Lonchura striata: one gene and its partners. The protein of the gene in region 2 interacts with the protein of the main gene of each other region in a biochemical or structural test. Links are inferred from orthologs where the notes say so. Each region holds a gene or a part of one and is shown on either strand. Other genes may lie near its edges.

What was found.
Region 1: the proteins of MPDZ (region 2) and HTR2C form a complex in vitro, tested with the Homo sapiens proteins (3 studies listed by BioGRID and IntAct, with this or other methods). The link is inferred for Lonchura striata from reciprocal best matches to the Homo sapiens genes MPDZ and HTR2C.
Region 3: the proteins of MPDZ (region 2) and HTR2A form a complex in vitro, tested with the Homo sapiens proteins (2 studies listed by IntAct, with this or other methods). The link is inferred for Lonchura striata from reciprocal best matches to the Homo sapiens genes MPDZ and HTR2A.

The regions. Positions count from the first base shown.
Region 1 is NC_134616.1:19,391,263-19,399,052, forward strand, and holds the start of HTR2C (5-hydroxytryptamine receptor 2C), read left to right. Parts: upstream 1-4,714; 5' UTR 4,715-5,473; intron 5,474-7,790. UniProt on the Homo sapiens protein: G-protein coupled receptor for 5-hydroxytryptamine (serotonin).
Region 2 is NC_134642.1:20,459,042-20,466,382, forward strand, and holds the start of MPDZ (multiple PDZ domain protein), read right to left. Parts: upstream 3,023-7,341; 5' UTR 2,870-3,022; exon of another isoform or gene 2,863-2,869; intron 2,700-2,862; exon of another isoform or gene 2,598-2,699; intron 1-2,597. UniProt on the Homo sapiens protein: Member of the NMDAR signaling complex that may play a role in control of AMPAR potentiation and synaptic plasticity in excitatory synapses. Promotes clustering of HT2RC at the cell surface.
Region 3 is NC_134604.1:61,622,302-61,629,390, forward strand, and holds the start of HTR2A (5-hydroxytryptamine receptor 2A), read right to left. Parts: upstream 3,077-7,089; 5' UTR 2,661-3,076; intron 2,220-2,660; 5' UTR 1,950-2,219; coding exon 1,550-1,949; intron 1-1,549. UniProt on the Homo sapiens protein: G-protein coupled receptor for 5-hydroxytryptamine (serotonin).

The DNA of each region.
Region 1 (7,790 bases), on a different chromosome or scaffold from region 2:
TTGTCCTCTTTGAGAGCTCATTGTGAATACATTGATTTGTACTTGTAGATATCAGGGTTGATTCTGTCTATATGGTTTGGCCCAGATGTCTCTGACTACAGAGAACATTCAATAAGATTATTGTCTGATGAACTGTTCCTGTGCCTATATTAATTTCTCAAATACATTTGAAAATTTCAGAGAAATCAAGGCTGACTTCTCAGAAGTAGTTCAAGTAGGAAGCCTTGATAAAGGTGAAACCAGCTAGCTTGTAAAAGGCAGCTGGGGGGACCTTATAATACCCAGGCTGTCCAAACATGCTCTTTTGACTCTTTACCAACACATTCATTGAATTCTGCAAACCTTAGAGGGCAAATACTTCCATTTCTAAATCACAGCTACAAGGAGGGCTGTGGAATTCTAATGTCTAAATACAACGGAATATTTTCAAGCACAACACAAATACTGATTTAAAACACAACAAAACAAAACAAAAAAAAAACTTGCAAAAAACCACAATACTATGCTGATATCATAAAGATTCATAATCAGTAATATCTGCTTCTAAACAAGCCAAGTCAAAAGAGTTGGTTTTTGTCTTGCAAATAGGGTGTTTGAAAGGATATTTAGGTCTCTGATGTCCCTAGTTTTTCCCTGCAGTGAAGTCCAATTCTAGTCAGCATACGCCTCCTTGGGTACACACTGCACACTCGTCCTATGATGTTTCCCAGTGAGGTGCTGCAGACTGGCAGTGTGTCTTGCTTGGATGCTGATGCCTTTTCTGAGCATCTGAAGTTTTTCCAGTATAAATAAAACTCGGGACTGATGGCTCATCAGGCTAATGTATGTGTGAGTGTTCAAAACTGTAAATGCTTTGGTTGTGCATTTTGTTAGTTTGGCTGGGAGGCAGTTTCTGAGCAAGCTGAGTTCTAAAGGTCAGTGCTGTTGCTTCCCAAACTCCATGCTCTGGTAGCTGCTATTGCACCTCTCTTCTGGCTGGAAGCCCCTCACTCTCAATCTGGTCGTTCTGAACTCCAGACATCCATGGGGTCATGGTAGGTGCTCAATAGCTGGTTATTGGTAGGGGCTGATAAGAAAGACTGAAGAATGATTTGTGATACAAAATGTTGGGAGCTGCTCTGTTAAGCAGCCTGGAGAACAAGTTCAGGGAACCCTGGGGTGGAAGGCTTGGCATATGCCAGAGACTGTAATTTATTTCTAGCCAAGAGTTTGTAGGTGAGATGATGCTACTCTGTATGGACAGTTGCCTGGAGCCTTCTGATGTGGCAAGGTGTTATTTTATATGGCAACGTTTAAAGCTTTCTGAAATTGAGTGTTGATACTCTGTGTATTGTGGCCATCTCGACTGTGGCATGTGCTACATTAATTACCCTTTACAGATTTTGGGCATATGTGTGAAATGTCCTTCTTAGAGAAGCTTTCAAAATTTTCCAATTTTTTTACTTCCACAATTTGTTTTACTTGGTCAAAATTGTCAGTTCATGGTCTATAGAAGAGCTGTTTGCTGTACTGAGTATGGCTCCTACAGTGTGTAAGAAAAAATGGGTGCAAGGCTGTGGGGGGACAATCTCCCTGCCTGTTGTTTACCCAGGGTGTCCTGGCATCTTCCAGTGCTGCTCTTGCCCTTGTCATCTGCAGGAGTTCAGGCGCTTGCAACAATGGATTGGCCAATTCAGTGCTTCACTGCATGAAGTGCACAAGTGAAACTCTGGCCACCCCCATCACTCGCCAGAAGGCTGAAATGATTGTGCTGACATTGCTTTTCACACTGTTTGGAGCCCTTTCCTCTCACTTGTAGGGATTTTCACATGTGACCTGAAGGATGAGGTGACTGTAGAGGTTTACATGATGTATGAATTGTTCACTTAGATGCCACAAACCAACCATGATCTTTTGCAACTTGGTAACAGCAAGGCACAAACCATTCATTGGAAGATGGATTAGTCCTCATACACTACATGAGTACAGTAAAAGAATAACTATAAAGAGAGGTCAAATGTTGAGTGTCAGGAGTAGAGCATGAGATTTTGTAATATGAAGGCTGAGGTCAGTATTCTGAGATTTCTGAGCAGAGATAGCCCCAATATTTACAGGACCCATACAAGTGGGTAGTTTCATCCTGCCAGGCCTCCAACTCTCTTGCTCCTGCTTGGGTGTTTTTTATTTTATTTATTTTTTTTTCCCCCAAAGTAGCCATTTAAACTAATGCTCTTAGTTTTATAAGTCCCAGTAGGGTCAGCATGCTGGATGCTCTTGAATGTGCCTGCTGTCTCTTGGGTAGTTGTTTGTTTTGCATGGACACATCTACCACCTGGGAGCTCTGAGTTTTAAAAGGTGTTAGAGTTGTTATTCCTCAGGTATCATGTAGCAATATGTTTGAATACATGTTTCTGAAAGTTTGGAGTAGTTATAATCAGGTTTCTGACTTCCAAAGTTCTTTTTTAAAAGTTTTTAAATCCCCACTCTAATGGTGTCTGTATTTCTTACGGTTTACATTTATTTGTTATGCATTTAAAGTCTTTGAGAATGGTTGTTTTGCAGTATAGTCTAATTAGAATACATATATTTGGTGGAATATGCAGGTTAGTACAATTGTGATGTGAATTTTAGGTCTTGTAGTTGTTTGCAGACCTCTTTAATGATTCAGCTTTCTGTAGTGTGACACTTCCCAATATGATGGCTTCCTTACATGCAAATATTTTTTAGAATGAAATCTCATATTACACCAAATCTAAAAAATTACGCACTTGCAAGCATGTGCATAATTTTTAGTGGCAGACCCGGTATCTGACAGAAAGATATGACCCTGCTGACCTGAGTTTCTCATGCCACAACATTCTCTGTTGTACAAGATGGAATAACTCAAATGAACATTTGATCTTATGAATTTAATAGGTGGTCATTTCCTCTGAATTTAAAGTTGGTTGGTCCATCAGGTGTTGTAGCTGAAAAATGTAATAGTGCCTGTACACAGAATATTTCTATTGAGTGTGCTGCAGAGGACTGCCTTCTTTCAGGACAGATACTTGTAGTGATGTTCTGGTAGTCACTGTGCTGTTTTTGCATACTAATTAATGAGCTCAGGAAGCATTAAACTCTAGAAATCCTCAGCTATCTTCTGGAGAACAAATTTGATCTTTGATACTCAGGGGAGAAACTTCAGGAGCATAAATCCTTAAGTGTCTCTGCCAAGCATTTTGATTACTACTTATACATGTTTTGTAGGTCTGGTGTTTAAAAGACATTCTTTAAGATATGCAATGCTTAATAAAGGCCCTTTTGGATTAATTCACTGTGGTATTTTTGCACAAAGCTGCATGGCCTGGAAGCAGTGAAACATGCATTGTGCTTGTTTTATCAGGGGATCACGATTTACTAGCCACTACAGGAAAGAAAGTATTTGTTTTGCTGTGATGCATTCTTGTATCAGTGGCAAGTATTTGCTGGTTTTATGTTAAGGGTGCCTTCCCTTTCAGACTATTTTTCAGGAATGAAGTTACAGGATGCTTAACTTACTTTTCAACATAGTAATTTATTTTGGCTTTGTGTGCTCAGGCTAAAATATCCACACTGCTAACAGCTTCGGTCTCAGTGATGGAGGCAGGTATTGATCAGGTTAATTTTGGTGTCTCCATGGCCTTGGAGAATCAAAGGTGCTAACGGGTTGCTGTGTGATGCAAAGCAGATCAACAAGGTTCAGGGCTTCACACTAGTTTGTCCTGCTCAGAAAAACATGTTATCTATGGCAACAACGGCTACTGAGAAAAAAGTGGAGATTTTTTAATAGGGTAAATCACCCATTTTGAAGACTTCTGAGTTTCAGATGCCAGCTGTTGGGGGGTGGGGGCATAGGAGGGAAAAGGCTGATGTGGGCTGGACTTACTGGCATTGTTATTGTTGTATCTGTGCTATGACGTGATGAAAGACAAACCAGAGTATTCCAAGGCACTCAGAAGAGGGGATGAGAAGAAAAGAGAGTATGTGGCATTCAGCTGGTGCAGAGCCTGCTGCCCCAGCCCTGGGGCAGGAGGGAGGTGGCTATGGCCCCAGATGCTACAGCCAGTCTAAGACCTGCTGAACTCATCACAGCTTGAGGATATATGACACATTGGGTTTCAGTGCCTCAGCTTCTGGCTGTGTAAAACCAAGGTGCAAAGCTGCACCTGCTGGGGCCAGTGTCCACAGTGGGAGCAACTTGATTCTCCTACCAAGACCAGAGAGGGACACCATGCTCCTAGGGGGTACCAGACCCTCCTTGCCTGCTGGAGACAATCCCATGTGGGATTCCGGGGGCAGTGGCCAGTATGCCCCATGCCAGGCTGGGATGATGGTGGAGCTGCCAGTGACAGGGGTGAGCAGTCGGGCTGGGTGACAGGGGCTTGGTTGGGCTCCCGGCACAGCGGTGAAGGTGTGCCAGGCCTCCCTCCCAGCCCCTGATGGAGGCACTCGTGCTGGCCGCCCCTTCACTTCCTGACTCCCGGGTTGCTCTCCTTCCCCACACCCGGACAGGGCTCCTGCCTGGGCATATTGGCCGCCTGCAGATGAGCGAGACGCCGGGACCGAAGCTGCGGGCGTTTGCATAGTCAACAGGCACATGCGAGCAATGTGCCTTTAAGACTAGCAGGAGAGCAGTAGTATCTCCCTCCCTCCTGTTAATTGTAGCATGTTTTCAGCCATGCTTCCCAGTCACATTCGCAGGCTGTGAGAGGGAGCAGCGCTGCCGCTCGCCGAGCGGGTGCCCGCGGGTGCCGAGTGCCGCCCGAGCAGCGCTTCGCCCGCGGGCGATGGGGCAGCGCCCGGCACCGCAGAGCCCCGTGCCCCGAGCCCGGCCTGCCTGACTCTGGGTCACTCGTGCTCGTCTCGTGTCCCTCAGCTCCTCGCCCCCGGGCCGTGGCCTCCAGCCGCGGGGTCAGACCTCTGGCCGCCCCACCCTGGCCGGGGCTCCTGCGTGAGCCGCGAGCGGTGCTCCGCTGGAGCCTGGGCATCTGCAGCGGGTGATGCAGTGGGAGCCGTGTGGTGCCTGGCCGGGGATGCTGTGGGAATGCTTGGCTCTCTGAGCACAAAGTGACTGCAACTAGCACGAGCCTGGGACTACTTCTCAGAAGATGCCCTGCGTGTCTCCAGTCATTCCTCTCCGGCCTCACCGCAGAATATTTGGAGTTGCTAGCTTTCTTCTGCCGAGGGGGGACAAAGGCAGAGGCCTCCAGAGGGTTAAGAGCATCTGCTTTTACGCCAAGTGTTTGAGCAGGAAATAATCTGCAGAGATACATGTGCAGCAATTCAACTGCTGCTGCTCTCTCAGGCTGCTGCTGCAGTTCGGTGTGTGAGAGGAGCCGTGCTGCTCACAGAAGATGCTTTCTTGGTGTGCCCGAATCTCCAGGCATGGCAGCAGAGCCCCGGCTGTCTGAGCTGGGGTAAATGTCTCCATCCAAGAGGAATTATGTTGACTTGCTGTCTCTGTCGGCTCACGGAGGTAGGTGCTGTTGCCTGTGCAATATGCCATGATCTATTGCGAGGGGATACAGTCCTCTTCGCAGTCTGGGATATAAAATTTTTAAAAATTTTCCATGGGAACAGGGCTTAATTTGCAATCTATAACGCCAGACAGAAAATGTATGTGATTTCTTTGTGTGCACCAGGGAGGAGAGGGCAAAGGATACCTGAATGATACCTTTTCTGATTGGCAATAAAGTTGTTGCACGTAATTTAAACAAACTACCCTCTGTTTCAGCAAAATGCACCTGGGAGCTTTTACTTCTTCCTCCTATATGACCTTTCGGTGAGGTTGGCTGCAGTATGCTGGGTTATACTTTGGTTCAGAAACTGGGACACAGTGCACTCTACAGGTCCCTTCATTCTGCTCCTGTGGACATGGGGAGGACAGAGGGCACCCACACAGAGAGGGAAAATGCTGCTGACAGGAAGCTGGTGTTTTTTTGAGGAGTGAAATTACACTAAGAGGAAGAAAAAAGGTGATCTTCCCTGTGGAAGAGGGAATGTTGAAGTCCTTAAAGGTTGATCTTGATGTTCAGAAGTAGAGAAGGAAATTTGTTCTAGAAGCAGCAGTGTATGAGTCTGGGATTTGTGTTTTGCTTTCCCAGCCCTGTGAAGAGGAATTTTGTTCAACTCTAACTACTTTACCACCCAGAATCTTTGCTTGAGGATTTTTTGCACCAGTAACTGGGAGAATAAAAATCTGTCAGTGCCATCAAATTTACTTAGGCTTGTTTTGAAAGTTGCCTTCTTGAGAAATCCCTAACAAAATCAACAGCAGCTGATACTGTTACCTTCTCACCACCAAGGCATGCTCTTTTTGGTTTGTCTTGAGATCTCCAGTGTGAGTTTTATTCTGTAAAGATTAAGCTGAAATGAAAGTTTCCATTTTTCTGGAAAAGCAGAGCGTTGGGCATTGGATACCTCTTTGATTTTGTTGGCCTGGTTGACCCACATATGTAGGTTTGCCTGTTGGCTCCTGAGTGCAGACCCTGACAAGGAAGCCTGGCTGTGCAGAAGAGGAAGGTGCTGCCTGGATTATGCACCTGCATCACGTGTAGAGTGGTTTGTGTTTGTTTCTGGCATTGCAGAGCTATTGATACAGCACAGCCAACAGTGCCATTGCTGTGTAACAGTTTCAGAAGTGTTTCTGTGGCACCTTGGCAGAACAAATGTGTCATTCATGACTGCACTCTTCAGGAAAAAGAGCAGCACTGTCATCTGCACTGTAAATCACTTCAGTCACTTTTGTTTTCTTTGCTCAGGTAGCAACACATTCTTAACCAGAACGTGTTGCTACCTGAGCATTTTTGTCAGAGCATTTGTAATTGCCGCCTCAGTTTCCCCAGGGCTGCTGTGCTGTGTATCTCATAAGGAAGTCTGGAGTAGAATTCCGCCCCCTCCTTTTTTTTTTTTTTTTTTTTTTCCTTTCTGTAATTCAGGCCCAAATGCAGTCAAGAACTTTATCCCTTGTCTTTTTGCCAGAATGGGACACTTGTATGTCCTATGCTGGGTTGGAGGTGCAGAAGCAAGTCTGCTGGATTTGTTGTTGTGCATGAATCAAGAAGCCACACTCCCTGCCAGGCTGTGATGATACCTGGGAAGCAGATGCTCTCTGTTCTGAGAAAGAGGATCCCTTCTTAGCCACACACTAGGTACTCCATAGCAACTCTTATTTCTCCAAAGAGGAGAAAAATCTTCTGGCTTTCCTCAGAGTAGTGAAAACACAAATGTATGAACCTTCAGTGAAATCTCACCAGAACTGGTATAAGGTCATCTGAATGACTTCTTTTTAGAACAGCACTTATTAAAATGTGGTGGGCATTAAGTAACACCGTTGTCTGTGCAGGAAACATTTGAAAAGAATATGTATTAGTCATCCCATTTACTGCTGTTTGCACACAGACAGAATGGTGATTAGAACTGGCTGAATCAAAGCAAAATGGTTCTTAAACAAGATTTCAAGAATTGGATTGGGCACTTGCTGGCCAGCAACTATTTTGGTCATCTTTGTGCATCTATTCCAGCAAGTGTCTTTTCAAAAGGTTGTTCTAGAAGAACATCAAAATCTTGGGGTGTATTTCCATGTGCTATGCTCTGAAGAAGTGGATGGGAATATCTTCCCTACAGCCTTACTTGCATCTGCTCAGGAAAAAAAAAAACAATGTATTTGAACCACTGCTCATTTCTGAGCAGCCTTTCTGCTCAGCACTGAAGTTGCTATTAAACTTTAACTATGTGGAAGTTGAGAGTTAATAATGGTAATTTTTAAAACTTAAGTTTATTAAATCTGGACT
Region 2 (7,341 bases):
ACATAGTAGGGAGTTTCTGGTGGGGTTTGTTTGAATCTTTTTGGTTAATGAAACAGATAATCTTCTACAAAAAAGAAAAAAAAATCAGTAAATATCTTAAATTAAGATCAATTGGAATCTTTCCACATTAGCTTCAGAAACTGAAAAGCATCTTTTTAGCATATGAAGAATATAGGGGACACTACATATACCGAACTGATGAAATACAGGAATGATTAATACTGGCTCTTTATGTTTTCAAGCATAGGCAATTGATAACCATATTCATTAAATTCAATTAAACCTGGTGAAGCACAGATTTTACAGCAGCTGCACCTCAATGTATATTGGATTCTTCACAGAGGTGACAACAGCATACAAAGCCTCTCCAAACAGCTGCCATTTAGCATCAACAAAGAGTCATCATTTTCTCTACAAACTAAAACACAAATTTCTCTTTGTGTATTGACAATAACAAGTTATTTATACAGAAAATCATAACACTGTGTAAGAAGACCACTGTGCAAGGGGTTTCAGATGTAAGAACAGGGTCTGAGTAGCCTACAAAAGAAATATGCTATTATTGCCAAGGCCAAAAATAGCACATTTTTGTATTGACTTGTCAGGAACACCAGCAGTGAAACATGACTGTCCTTATCAATGATAATATAGTATCCTGTCAGCATGGTATTATATTAGCCAAAACTGCTTCACCAGGATGCTCAAATAATGCCTATTAAAAAATGTACCAGATGCACTTCACCAATTTTTTTGTGTGTGTGTGTGAAACATGGAGCAGAGATTAAAAAGTTATTCAAAATGCTTCTCAATATACTGAATAAGTGCTACTTGTTAAAACAAAACCATCTACAGCTATCTGCATGACTGAGAAGATATAAGGCGTTCCTGCCTGAAGAATTCAAAGACCAGGACCCCACCAGGGTCAGGTGGAATAAAAAGATCCATTAGTACCGATGTAGTGCAGTTCTCTTTCCCTGGTGCTGATAGTGATCTAACTTTTCTAGCGCATTTCTTCGTAAAGAGGAGAGAATGTATCCAGTTCCTAGTGAAAAGCTTCTACAAAGCACTAAGGAAACCAACAGTAACACTATATCTAATCATTAAATGTTACATGTATGTTACTGTTAACAAGATAGGAGACATAAAAATATGCAAACAAAAATTGATAACCATTTCAAAAAATTGTGCTCTGTCTAAAAATGCTGCTTGTTAAGGTGGGTATGTCTCATACATACAAAATACATAAATATATTCCAATTGCATTCTTTTCTTTTAGTGTTACAATTACTTTCAATTTCCACAGAAGCATCAAGTAACACTGAAAAACTATTTTACCACTTTCTCCTTTTCCAGTTTAGACTCTTCCCTACCAAGGAGTTGCTGTTTCCTTGGGAAACACAGAAGTGATAGGCAAAGCACAGGGCACCACACAATACAATTTCAAAAACTACAGAATTCAGATCCTTCCTCTTTATCTCAGTAAATCTCTGCTCTCCTACTGCGACAGACTCCTGACACCCTTTCTGGGACCAAAGCCAGTAAGGATGTTTCCTATCCAAGAGTTTATAGTTAAAAAAAAAAAAAAAAAAAATCTAGACATATTAGGACACAAATATATAGCTGGACAATGCAGTGTTTATAAAAGCAAAAGAAAAGGTAAAGGGGAAAAAATTTTTAAACTACAATGTTTCTCAGGCAAACGGCAAATCAAATCCGTTAAATGCTGTACACGGTTCAAAAGGTCGGCTTTGTGAGTTTTTGTTTTTCTTTCTTTCCTCCTAATACTCTTTCCAGTAATATAGGGAGGTGCTGGCAGCAAGGGGGGACACGGGAAACGAACCATCCCTCTCCTCTGAGCAGCCAGACTCATCAAAGGCCACAGCTGCAGGTGGCCCCTTGCCCTCTGCTTCCACCCAGCCCAAGCCGCTACGTTTGAACGCGCCCCGCGGAGCGGCCGGACCGCTACCGCGGGCTCGGACCTGCGGGCAGCCCGACACCACCGCGGCAACAGGTCCCGGTCCCCAGGACACCGCCAGGGCAGCGGGGCCTCGGTCCGGCCCCGGCTGCGAGCGAGAATCGGCGCCCACGGGAGCCGGCCGAGGGCCGCGGCCGCCGGCACGGTCGGTGGCAGCGGCGGCAGATGCGGAGACCTCCTCCCGTCATGAAACACCCGCGGGGGGTAAAACAGGAATGCGTGAGCGGGCAGCAGGGCTCCGCGCCTGTGTCAGGGGAGTCTCGGCTTTTGTTTACGTGAGGACAACGCCCCGCCAGGCCGCTCGAGCCCGCGAGCCGCCCGCCCGCCGCAGGCCAGAGCCCGGCCCGGCCCCGCTCGGCGGCGGGGAGAGGGGATGTGCCGGGACACAGCAACAGGCTCGGCCCGCGGCCCGGGGCTCCACGGCCTCGCCTCCTCCGGCCCCACCCCGGCAAAACCCTTCTGATCAAATGAACAATAATAAATAAAAGTTCGAGGGACAAACGCGTTTTAAAAGGTCGCTTAAACTCCAGCGAGGCGGAGGACCCTTCCCGGCCCGCATCCCCGCGGGACGACTCAGGAGGGCTCGCCCCGCTCGCCCCGCCCGGCCCGGCGCCCTGCTTACCCCAGCCGCTCGGCGAGCCCCACCGCCCGGCCCGGCTCTCCGCCCTCCCCGCCCCCGAGTAGCGGCGCCGAGCGAGCCGCGCCGCGGGGCAGCGCGCTGGGCACGCCCCGGCGGCCTGAAGCCCAACCCCGCACCGCCGGCCGCGGGGCTCGCCGGGGCGGGCGGGGGCCGCGGGACCGCGGGGCACGCTCGGGGCGCCCGGCCCCGTCCCTGCCCGCCTGCAGCGCGGCCCTTCCCGCGAAGTTTGCCTCCCCGCGGAGCGCACGCCTTGCCGGGATGACACCGAGGAGCCGGGCTGGTCCGGTTCAACTCTCCGGTTCGCCTGCGAAGTGAAGGCGGCGGCAGGCTGGTCCCTGTCTCTCTCCAGCGGTGCGGTGCCGCCTGCGGACGGGCCTGGAACGCCAGGACACCGGCCGTATCCCTTCTCGTGCAACAAGATGAGCCGGGCCTGGAACGCAGGAAATGTTTGCAAATGCTATAAAAAAAAAAAAAAAAAAAAAAAAAAAAAATCTTAGATAGCAAACAACACATGATGAAGTTTGACAAAATGATTTATAAGGTCGTGGAATTAATAAAGGAATTACTTTTCCATCGATGCAGCAGCTGGTTATTGTGTTAACTAAAAGTAAGGAAGATGTGTGTTTCACATACATACAAGAATAAAGCGTATAATGCAGAGATGTTTGTAAAGACCACAAAATATCCGAAAACATAAGTTCAGCTAATGGTGGAATTATTTTTGCTATTTGTTAACTTTGCTTCGACTAGCATATGTCATCAAGGTCACTGTTTCCCCTATTCCTTTACATAAGATAATTTTTTTGATGTCGATGTTCTCAGACAGCTCAACTGAGGTAAACCCCCTGCAGAGGGAGATGGACCACAGCTGCTCCACTCGGCGTCTTGGCTCTGGCTTTGCAGAGGCTCCATGAGCTTTTTATCTTCTTGCCTTCTGGCTTAGTTTGTTCTTTTTCCAAACAGATGTTAACCTTAAGAGTCATCATAACTTCTAGTAGTTTGTGGCAGGGGGGTGGTGGTGCTATTTGGTTGGTAGACTTTTTTGGGTATTTGGTGCTTTTTTTTTTTCTTTCCTCACACAAAAATTTTAAAGAAACCTAATGTTATGAAGCTAGAATGGAGTACTGCCCTATCTATTTTCAATAGTGTCAATAAATGCAATCCCAGTACAAACACTTTCTTTAGCAGAACACTTAATGTGTATACTTTATATTTGTACATAGCATGGTTCAGATTTTTTTTTTTTTATTTGGAAAATTAAATTCTGGAAAAGTTTGAATTACAAAACAATATTTCTCTTGCTTGCTCTTATTACAGCTGGTTGATTGAAAAACTCCAAATTAATTGCTGCCTTTTCCTCTGCTGAGTATTAAAATATTTTTTAACAATAGTTCAACTTTTTAACAATATTTCTTCCACCTTTTTAACTAAGAAATGTAGTTTTCAAGATTTTATTCACAGGTTCCATTGTTCAGTCTGACATGAGCTCATAAGCATATTACTTTTTTAATCAAACACAGAGGCTCTGCTGTAGCTAAGACATTGAATGATCTATAACTGTCCCACCAACTTTCTGTGTTACATCAGCTTTTATTGAATTCAGAATAAAATTTTAAAAAGAAGTTACAGTTTGTTTCCAAGTATCATTGTTCAATGAATAAGCCACAGTTGATTAGATAAGTACAAAAAGAAAATGTTATTGTTATTTTTTCCTGTTGCTCAGGCTTTAACTACAGGATATGACTGAAAGCAGATGCAGTGATTACATTAAGTTTATTTGGACAAAAAACTGGTCAATATTAGGTGCAACAGTCCTCACAATGTACAACAGCATCCCTTGTGTAATAATTCTTCCCATTTCAATTTGTTTTTGTATAGGATATACCTTTCAGAAAGTTTTTTAACATACAGACCGCTATTTTAAAGTAGAAATACATTTTAAATTATATTTATATTTTGTCAAATCCTTGTAGTGAGTATATATTAAGTAGTGAAGTTCAGAACATTGTGCTACCTGAGGCCTTGCCATATTAAAAAGATTTGCATAAGTATATTTATGCCAACATAGCTGTACACAGAAACTGAACCCTCTCATAAACACACAACTGTACATGCAATAAACATAAAACTGTAATGGGAATTAGCATCACAGTAATCTAATGCGCTTTTGCACACAGTAGCTGATGACACTGATGAAGAGCCATGCAGGCACAGTTCTAGCAAATAGCAAAGCAAATTGTTATGGTTCAGAATACACAACTGGACTCATGGATATATTTGGTACTACCTTTAGAAATTAATTTGAAAGACATCAGCCATTCATTTTGACTTATTTCTTCCTTTTATTATAAAATAGGACCTCTCCAGCCCCTTCCTAGAAAAAGGTCAAAACGTATCGATTATTTCCTTGGTGTGTTTCATGTGATACACAATGCTTTAAGTTATGTCACAGCTTTGTTAGTGTAAGGAGTGTGGCCATTGGTGGTATATAATCTTGAGGGATCCTTCAAATGTGAGAAAAGAGAATCTACTTTGTATTTCAAGGCTAAATGTTTTAACAAGCTACAAATAGCTTATGTGTCTACAAACGCTTATTCAAGTGATTGTAAATAAAAATTGTAAGCAATTTTTTAAATCATAAACTTTCCTCAGAAGATAATTATTAGTGCAAAATCCATAAAAAATATTGTCAGAAAGGACTCTTAAGGAGAAATGGAAGGGATCTAAATAAACCCTTATTTTATGTTCTCTAGTATTAACATCCTGATATATTTCATTTCTCAGGTCAATTTATAATATACTCATGGTCGAAGTATCAATATTGGATGAGATGTCTGCCTTGCTGATTTACTTAAATAAATAAAATATTAATATTAATGATTTACTGCTTAGATTTATTAGAAAACATGAAGGAAAAGTAAACTGAGAAAAAAAAAGCCTTTACAGAAATAACAGGGGCACCAGAAACAAGGCTATGTGTCCATTAAATCATTCATTAGACTGCTGTTGGGGATGCAGCCTTTTAAAATAGTAATGGGAACAGGATCTAACCAATGAAATGAGAGTCTGGTTCTGCTCTGAGTCACAAGTACTGACTTCACTTTGAGAAGATGCTGCCTATGAAACATATTTGATGATATTTATGACACAGATCCATTTATTCCCTAAAAAAAAAAAAAAGAAAAAAGAAAAAAAAAGTGTTCTTAACAATAATTGTCAATAATTGTTTGTTTCATCACTGTGGGTATCATATTTGGTATGGGCATTGTTATTGCATGGTCCACTGCAGAATGGATAATATATATATATTTTTTTAGGGACCTAGAAGCACCCTGTGAGGGAGTCAGGAATATTTATAAACTTTTTATTTATGTTTGAAGTATTCCATCCCTGAATTTAGAAAATAACATGGAAATGGACCAATAAACACTTTTCATAAGTATTACCTTGATTAAAAATTGGATAAACTTTTCTTTTATAGCCTTACTCTTCAATATTACAGCATAATTTTCTTAATGTATATTCATATGTATATATACATACATAGACACAATATTGTACTTTTCATTACAGCATTTGCTCACCTTTCAAGCTCAAAACCTACTAATTACCGTCTTCCATGTTAGAGAATGATAATTATTTATTATACATAAAATTTTATTCATGGCTATGTAAAGCAAGAGTAACTCATTGCATTACATGGAATTAAGCTGTAGAAAACCAATCTGAGATCAAAGGTAACTATGATCCTAACTGCAATAGCTGCTAATCTAAATATATTAAGTATGCATTTATCCAAGGATGGATCACCATCTTTTTTCATGGAGCTCTTACGAGTAGAATAAGTTATACTAGCAGAAGCATTCAGTATTAAATATAACACTCTTCTTCATTTCAACATAAAAGGTACACTGCAAAAGTCAGATGGTGTAACTACACAGTTACTTCTGTTACTGGAGGTAACACCATGTATATTGTTATACAGAGCAAAAATTGGGAACTTTCTCTTAACTTTTGTGTTTGAAATGTACAGGCTTTGGATTATTATGCTGGCAAGTAGTGAATATTAGTGTCACTTCCTGAAGCATGCATATTTGCAAGAATGGAGCATAGATTTGCATTTTAAAGATTCTTTGGGAAATTGTCTTCCCTGCAGACATACTTCATAACAGTTATTATTGATATTGGAGGTTGCACATACACGTACAAGGGGAAGTATGCCCTGTAAGGTAAAACAGAGTAAAAAAATCATAAAAGGTATGTTAATTATTTATAACTACAAAACAAAATACTTGCAATTATGACAAATTAAAAGGGCACTTATTTACACACAAACAGGATTGTTTAAAGCCACAGACCTTGCCCATAGCAGAGAAGTGAAGCTAAATAAGTGACAATGCATATTGACGTTATCATAAATTATTCAGACACAAAATACCTACAAGGAGTGTCTGGTTTTGTCAGATTGCAGTTTTTTGGGTTTTTTTTTTCCAAAATTGTGGCACCTGGGTCCTTTAACCACCAGGAGTGGCACAGTGGGTCAGGTTTTCAGGAGCCAGATAGCTGAAGGAAAGCTTCCACCGAAGGTGGGAGGACACTCAGGCTGCTTTGATTTCCAGAGGGTTTATTGGAAGGGTAGAGAAGGCAGAGGTACAGGGAAACAACCACTCGGAAGGGGAGCAAGCTCTGAGAGCCTCATCCCGCGCGCGGGTGAGGTATTTAACAA
Region 3 (7,089 bases), on a different chromosome or scaffold from region 2:
GCATGGGTGATGCGGCTGAAGTTGAGCAGCTGCGGCCAAGAAAATGCTCCTGTGGAAGGAGAGGTTTCCCTCCATGCCATCACTGATGATCCTGGAGGTTGATGGTGCACCACACCAAGATGGTTCTCCTGGTACCAGTGGGTGCCACCAGATGATTTTTCACGCCAAGTTATGCTGCTTCCATGCCTGGTCTAGCAGGGGAAGAAGCGGGGAGAGCGGAGGCAAAGGCGAGGCAGGCGCTCCCCGGCGCCTCCCGGCCCGCGGCTCGCGTGTCCCGGGAGCGCGGGCGGGCGGCGCGGGCTCCGCCGGGACGGGGCCGCGCTTCCCGGCGGGCGGGAGCGGCACCCAGCGCCGCACCCCCGCATCCCTCCCCAGACACGGGGCTCGGCCGTCTCTGCCCTCGGCAGCGGAGCCTGGCCAGCAGGAGTCCCTGTTGCTTGTCGCAGGGAATCACGCAGCACTTAAATCTCACCCATCGGACAATTCCTGTTTCACGCCGTTTCTCCCGCCAGAGATAATAGCACACTGACACGGCACATCGCGGTGTGGCACCGTGACTGATGCCAAATGCAGTTTGCAAATGCTGCTGCGGGCTATCTCTGTAGAGATACTGAAAATGGAAAATAAACTTCCAACTTTCCGGATTAAATCTCCTTTAAGCACAGGCTCACGTTTGAACCTTAAGTCCCAAAGTAGTGAAGTAATAGAACAATCTCACTCTCCTGACAATGCCTAGCTTTTCTTTGAACTGCAGCAATTCAGTAGCATTGAAAGGCTCATTTCTGAAGTTTAGGGACGGTCACAGCCTGACAAAATTAGTGCTGAACACAAAGGGTGCTGCTTTTTCTGGTGTGAGCTGTGCTGCAAATGATTTTGGTGAAAATGGGAAGAAAGATGTGCTATTAATCACCTGCAAGGGCATGAACTGTGAGTCATTTTTAACTTAAATAACTTATCTTAAGAAATTATAGTTTTGCATTTGTAAATGTTACTAATGCCCATCCATTTCTTAGTTCATGCAATATTTATTCCAGCATTTGCTAGTAAATAGATTGTCTAAGCAGGGTATTGGTGATAAGAAAATTATTTACATTTATATTACTTCACTAAAAATAATTGAGAGGGATGCCTACTTTGAATCTAAAAGTAGTCATTAGTGTTTCAGTGCATATTTGCAGAGCAAAGTAACTGGCAGGACCCTTCATTCTCATTGGGAACATGAAAATTATGAGCCAGGGAAAAAATCTGAAAACAATAGAAAGAACAAAGCATCTTCATATACACTTTGAGTCAATACATCTGACAACTGAATAATAAACTGATTTTATGGTCTGTGTTTAAAATGCCTGTAGCTGGAAATATAAACTAGGAAAAGATTCAAGTACTTCACCTGTTCCACGCCTTAACCAGTGACATATATTTCAATTTATATGGAGTGATAATAATTTTCTGTGGTAAGAGAATGAAATCATAATGACAACAAGATGTTATTGCATGCAATCTTTAAGGCTTATCAATACATGCAGTAGGTTACACAGCTGATACTCACCATACAGTATGGTCAACATGGACACAGGCATGACAAGGAAACCCAGCAGCATATCAGCTATTGCAAGTGACATTAGAAAATAGTTAGTGGCATTCTGTAGTTTTTTCTCCAGTGAAACAGCCATGATGACAAGAATGTTTCCAGCAATGGTTAAAACAATCACTATTACTGTCAGCAAAGCCGGCCAATTTTTCTGTGAAGGGCAGCACGGTGGGCTCATGTTACTTTCGCATGAAAGATTGGTTAGGTTGTCAGAGTTCACAGTCAAGTTGCAGAGATGTGATATATTAATTTCTGCAGCTCCATAAACATTTCTGTAGAATCTTCTCTCATGATTTATTTGTATGAAGGAGTTTGCAGTTGGGTTCACAGAGCTCACTCCATCGCAAAGAATATCCATTGCTAAGTCCAAAACCACAGAGATAAATTGAGAAAAACAGGAAATTATCACCCTTTGTCACCATTGGGCATTATATTCCTCAGCTCCCCATGTCAGAAGTTGAGGGAACACAATCTTTTGTCGACTGTATTTTTGCCACTAGTGCAATGTAGAAAAACATACCAAAATTACTCCAAAAGCTGAAATGTTTTGTTTTCAGTTCCATAGGAAGTCCAGTGTTGGCATATATTGAAAATCCAGCTGGATAGTAAAACTGGGCTGTAAGAGAGGCTTCAGAGAGAAAAAATGTTGGAGAAATAAAAGACATAAAACTTTTGCAACCACTAGGACTCCCCTCTGGAGCTACATCTTATTGCTATTGGTAACTGTTATCACACAATTTTAAACAGAGCAGTATTAAAATATCTTGCCGTATTAAACAGCAAAGCTCTGGATTCTCTATTAAGAATCTTGATTAATTATTCCATCCAACGTCTTTCTCTCGAAATAATTAAATATGCTTTTATTTATAGTGCATCTTCCATAATATGGCTGATAGTCTCTGTCTTCTGTTGTATTTCAGAATCATTTTCAGCCTCATATCAGAGACTACACATTCTGCTTCATGCTGATTTTTGTAGCTAATTGTACCTTTTGGCTCAGCATGGCTTCAGAATGGAAATTAAACAACTAGATACTGTTATAAAAGAATACAATTTAAGGAAGACTTACATTGCACTTCAGAGCCCACTTTCAAACTGCAAATAAATGCACTTGGCACCCTGGTTTACAATATTCTTCGCTGTGTTTAGCCAGTTCCGTGTCTTTTTTTCTTCAGCCTCCTCCACAACGGTGCTATTTCAAATAGTTTTTTGACTTCTAAACTGCACACACTTGAGTGAAGCCAGTTCCTGTGCTGCGAGGCTTGCTCTTTTCTTCTGAGAGATAGGCTGCTCGCCGGCTCTTTCCTTGTGCATTTCCCCGCCCCAGGGCAGCTATATTTAAAGTAATAATAATATCAGAGCCCTTCTTGAAGTGGCACAAAAGCAAGCACGCACACACATGAGAAAGCAGCCTGCACGGAGGAATTACTGATTGCAACAGGAATGGAATTTCTCCCTTGCTGCCTTGTTCGGATTGTCAGACCTCCCACTCTCTGGATGTCAGAAACTGTAAGGTAGCGACAGCAGAGGAGGGCAGGGGAGGGCAGAGCACAGGGGGTCTTTTTGGTAAGCCAGCAGCTTTTTCAGTGCTTATTTTAGAGGTTCTCTGCTTGGGGGCTTTTTCAAAACATGCTTTCAGTTTGCAGTGGATGCCTCACAAACAGCTGCATGCAATTACAGGGATTTACAGGATGCAGGCTTGAGAGAGACAAAATCTAAGGCTTGTGATGGTAGATACGAGTGAAACATGTGAGAAGTTTTTTCCCTAAAGAGGGGAAATTCCACCAACCTTAAAAGGCAGGCATAATAATATTCAGTCCCCTTCAGTTTTAACTCCAGGTCTGTGCTGACGTGTGAATCAACTTGGCAACAGATACTTATAAAAAATTGAAGTCACTCTGATGTCATACTCATTTGTCAGGAGATGGATGTAACAGCTCAGTCCAGCAGCCTGTCCCAAGCAGGCATCCCAAAGGAAGCAGTTCTGTAAAGCAATGTGTGTATAGAGCAAAGGGGAAACAAAACAGTCTGACACTGCTTCTGCCTTATACTTCTGCTGCCAGGACACACATGAAGAAATAGCCGAGTCTTCAATTTTCCACCTAAAAATACTCAGCTCACAGACTTTCTGAGACTTACAGTTGTCAAAAGTTTGGCTGAATGGGTGTACTGCTCGCCTGCACATCCTGAGATATATTGCAGACTTCCCTCATGCTGAGGGCAATGGCTTTAAACAGGCAGGCTCAGGAAGTTTTCAGTGAGATCTCAGAGAGGTGCCAGTGTCACTGGGCACCCGTGGCTCCTGGCAGACCCTTGGGAGCTGCAGGCTGCTAGCATAGCTCAGCTCTGTGTGCAGCACTGTCAACTCTGCTGCAGATCCCAGGGAACTTCAAGCATATGGAGAATTACTACAGCTCAGCTGACATGTGCTAATCTCTTCATGGACCCAAAACCATTCCAAAGTGAGTCTCAGAGCACACACTGATGCCCATTCAGATCAGTAACTGGGGCACAGTTACAGAAAGCCTTTCTCAGTAGTTTTTTGGAGCCAGTTTTACTCACAGGTGAACCCAGCAAGACTGGGAAAATGACGCAGTAGCTTCCACTAATACCCATGTGGGACTTGGAAATGTGTCATGGTAGTAATAAAGTTTCCCAGTCCCATAGGTGAGGCCAGAAGACTATCAGACAGCACAAACTGGTAAAAAAGTTGATAAAGCTGAGTTTAGCAAGAAATGTGTTAGCTCTGGCAGTCTCACCCAGAAGCCAGAAGAGGAAATTTCCTCTCTCCTTTCATACAATAATCAAATAGGGTACTGTGTTCACCAAGTGAATTTGGCATCCATGCTCCAGAGGATTTGGTGGCCACTGCTATGAATATGATAGTGCATATCTGATACAGAGGGTGGGCTCCACTTCTGCTGAATGCAGCTGTGGCAGCAGCTCTCTGGCCACAGAGAGCAGGCACAGACTTTCCCAGGCATTTTCCCAGGGAAAGCTGTGAGAAGATCAGAGAAAAGTATGAAAAACAATTCTTATCTCCACTCGCACCTGCTGTTGTGCACATGTAAAATGTGTCATGGAGATTTGTTTACTAAAGGGTGATTTCTTAAATAAACACTAGATAATATTTAGATAGATTGACCAGTTAGGTCAAAGCTGTATCAGACTAGCTGTAAGAGTTAATAAGTTTTTTGATAAGTATAGTAAAATATAGTATAAGATGATATAATAAAGCAATTGATGAAACTTCTACAATTGTGGAGTCAATACTAATTATTACCCAGCTGAAGGCCTGTGGTGACATGCAGCCACTGTGCAGAACAGGGCACAGCACCTCTTGGCTAGGGCTACATACAACCTTTGTGAGGAGCCCAGGTGTCCCGTTGTTTTCTTAGAAGGTTGGCTCAGGGCTCTGACTGCTATAGCATAGCAGTCATGGGTGTGTCATGGATGTCACTCCTAAGAGAGAATAGCTACAGGTTTATTGATATAAACCAGTGATTTTGTCAAGCTTCATGGTAAATGTGAGAAGGGTTCAGTAAGATCTGATGACAAGGTGCACTTGATTATTTATGGCACAGAGGACTGGGTCAGATAAGAGAGACAGGGAGAAAGACTCTCTTGTTGAGTCATGAGGTTCAGAAAAGACCTCCTTGTGTTCTAAGTGCCTTCTCATAATGGAGTTTATGTGTGCCTAATTCCAAACTTAGACTTAGTCAATGGTTTATATCTCAAGGATTATATGTTCACAATCAATCTTTTGTGTCACTTAGCTAAGATTTCAGAGTTTAGCATGCTATTATTCACTTACTGAGAATCTCCTGAGTCAAGGGATCTCTCAACTCTGAGGAGTGACCTTGAGAACTACTACTCAAAGCCAAGACCCTGGCAGACAATCCACTGCCCTGCAGGAGAGATCAATAAGCCCTGGCTGTTCACTATTTATGAAGTAAGATAATTGACTTATAGTCATATTTGCATACCAGCTACAGAAGTTAATTTCCTCCAAACTTGGCCTGAGTTGGACCTTGACAAACAGTATGGTTGGGGGTGTGCAATGACTCATTTAAATCTGCAGCTCTATTCAGGACATCAAAAACATAAAAGTAAAGTGCAAACCAGCTAACTGTTGCCTTGCCTAAGACCTTTGCAGCTACAGTCATAAGCTCTTCATTAAAGGACTGCACTGTTTACTGTGGTGTAGCTGTAGACATTTGAGTATCTACCACAGGGTCTGAGTACCTTCTGGAAACTTAGCTTTCCCGACAGAAAGCAATTTGGCATATGTGAAACTGAGGCACAGGCATCTTAAAATTTTTTTAGGTTTGCACATGAAGCATTGATAAATAAGAAACCAGCTTTGTGCAGGTTGACATATCAGAAAAAAACTGTGATCTTATGTCTTCTAGCGTGTGTGTTGGATGTACAACTGATCATGAATTTATTGTAATATTTATCTCAGGATTTTTATTTTATTTAGACTGCAAAATCACTCATCTCACCTCACCCCAAGAACCTGAAAATTGTTTTCCTTCCATATAGCATCACTGCAGGAATCAAGCAAAGGAAATGTCCAATCTTTGTTTGCAGAGCCCAACAAAAAGAGAATACCAGGGCTCTCATCCATCTGCAAAACCAAGCGTGAGCTCTACCTTGAGAATTCAGCATGGAATAACTCCTAGGTGATCAGTCACATCCAAACCAGCCTTGACCACTGCTTTTCCTAAAGGTGGAAAGCTCTGGAAAACTGTAGGCTCCATGCTCTTCTATTTTAAACAAAGGAGTTTGCAAGTCTGTGGCAGCAGAGCCTCGCACGCTGCGACCTGCACTCCCAGGCAGCGCGTCTGCGCTAAGAGCAGGCAGCTGCTGTCTGTCCCAGCCTATGGAAATTAAGTGAAATCTTAGCTTAAAATGGCAATAATGTGGTCTGTGGTAGACAGAAAGCAGTCTCTAGAAACACAGCTGGCATGGGAACAGACTGCACATTGCTTTTTAATTTCTGGAAGGCACCAATGTAACAAATTCATCTCAGCCCCTCCCCTGGTCCCTAGCTCTGCTTGGAAATTTTTTGTAGGACGTTATTCTGTTCTCTTCAGTAGGGTTTTTATGCTTGGCATGGTGCACATAAACACTTCCTAGAAATGCTGCTTTTCAACAATTTTTGTCTGAAAGAGGAGCAGTTAAAAACCTAGTTTACATAATTCAAATTTGTGTTCTCAGGATTGATTCAGGTGTAAAAATTCCCAGTTTCTGAGTTTGCCATTGTTCTCTGATGTTCTGAATAGATTTTGTAATCCATAAATGTAGTAGTAACTGAGGATGTTAATCAATCAGACTGATTTCTAAAAGTGAGGCAAGTGAAATGTGAATAATTTTTGTTGTTGTTGAGACTACTACAGTTTGGTGTCTCTGTTAGCATGCATCAGGGACTGTTGGATGTGAATCAGAGGCTAGCTATTACAAATCAGGATGAATTACTAAAAACACTCCTCTCT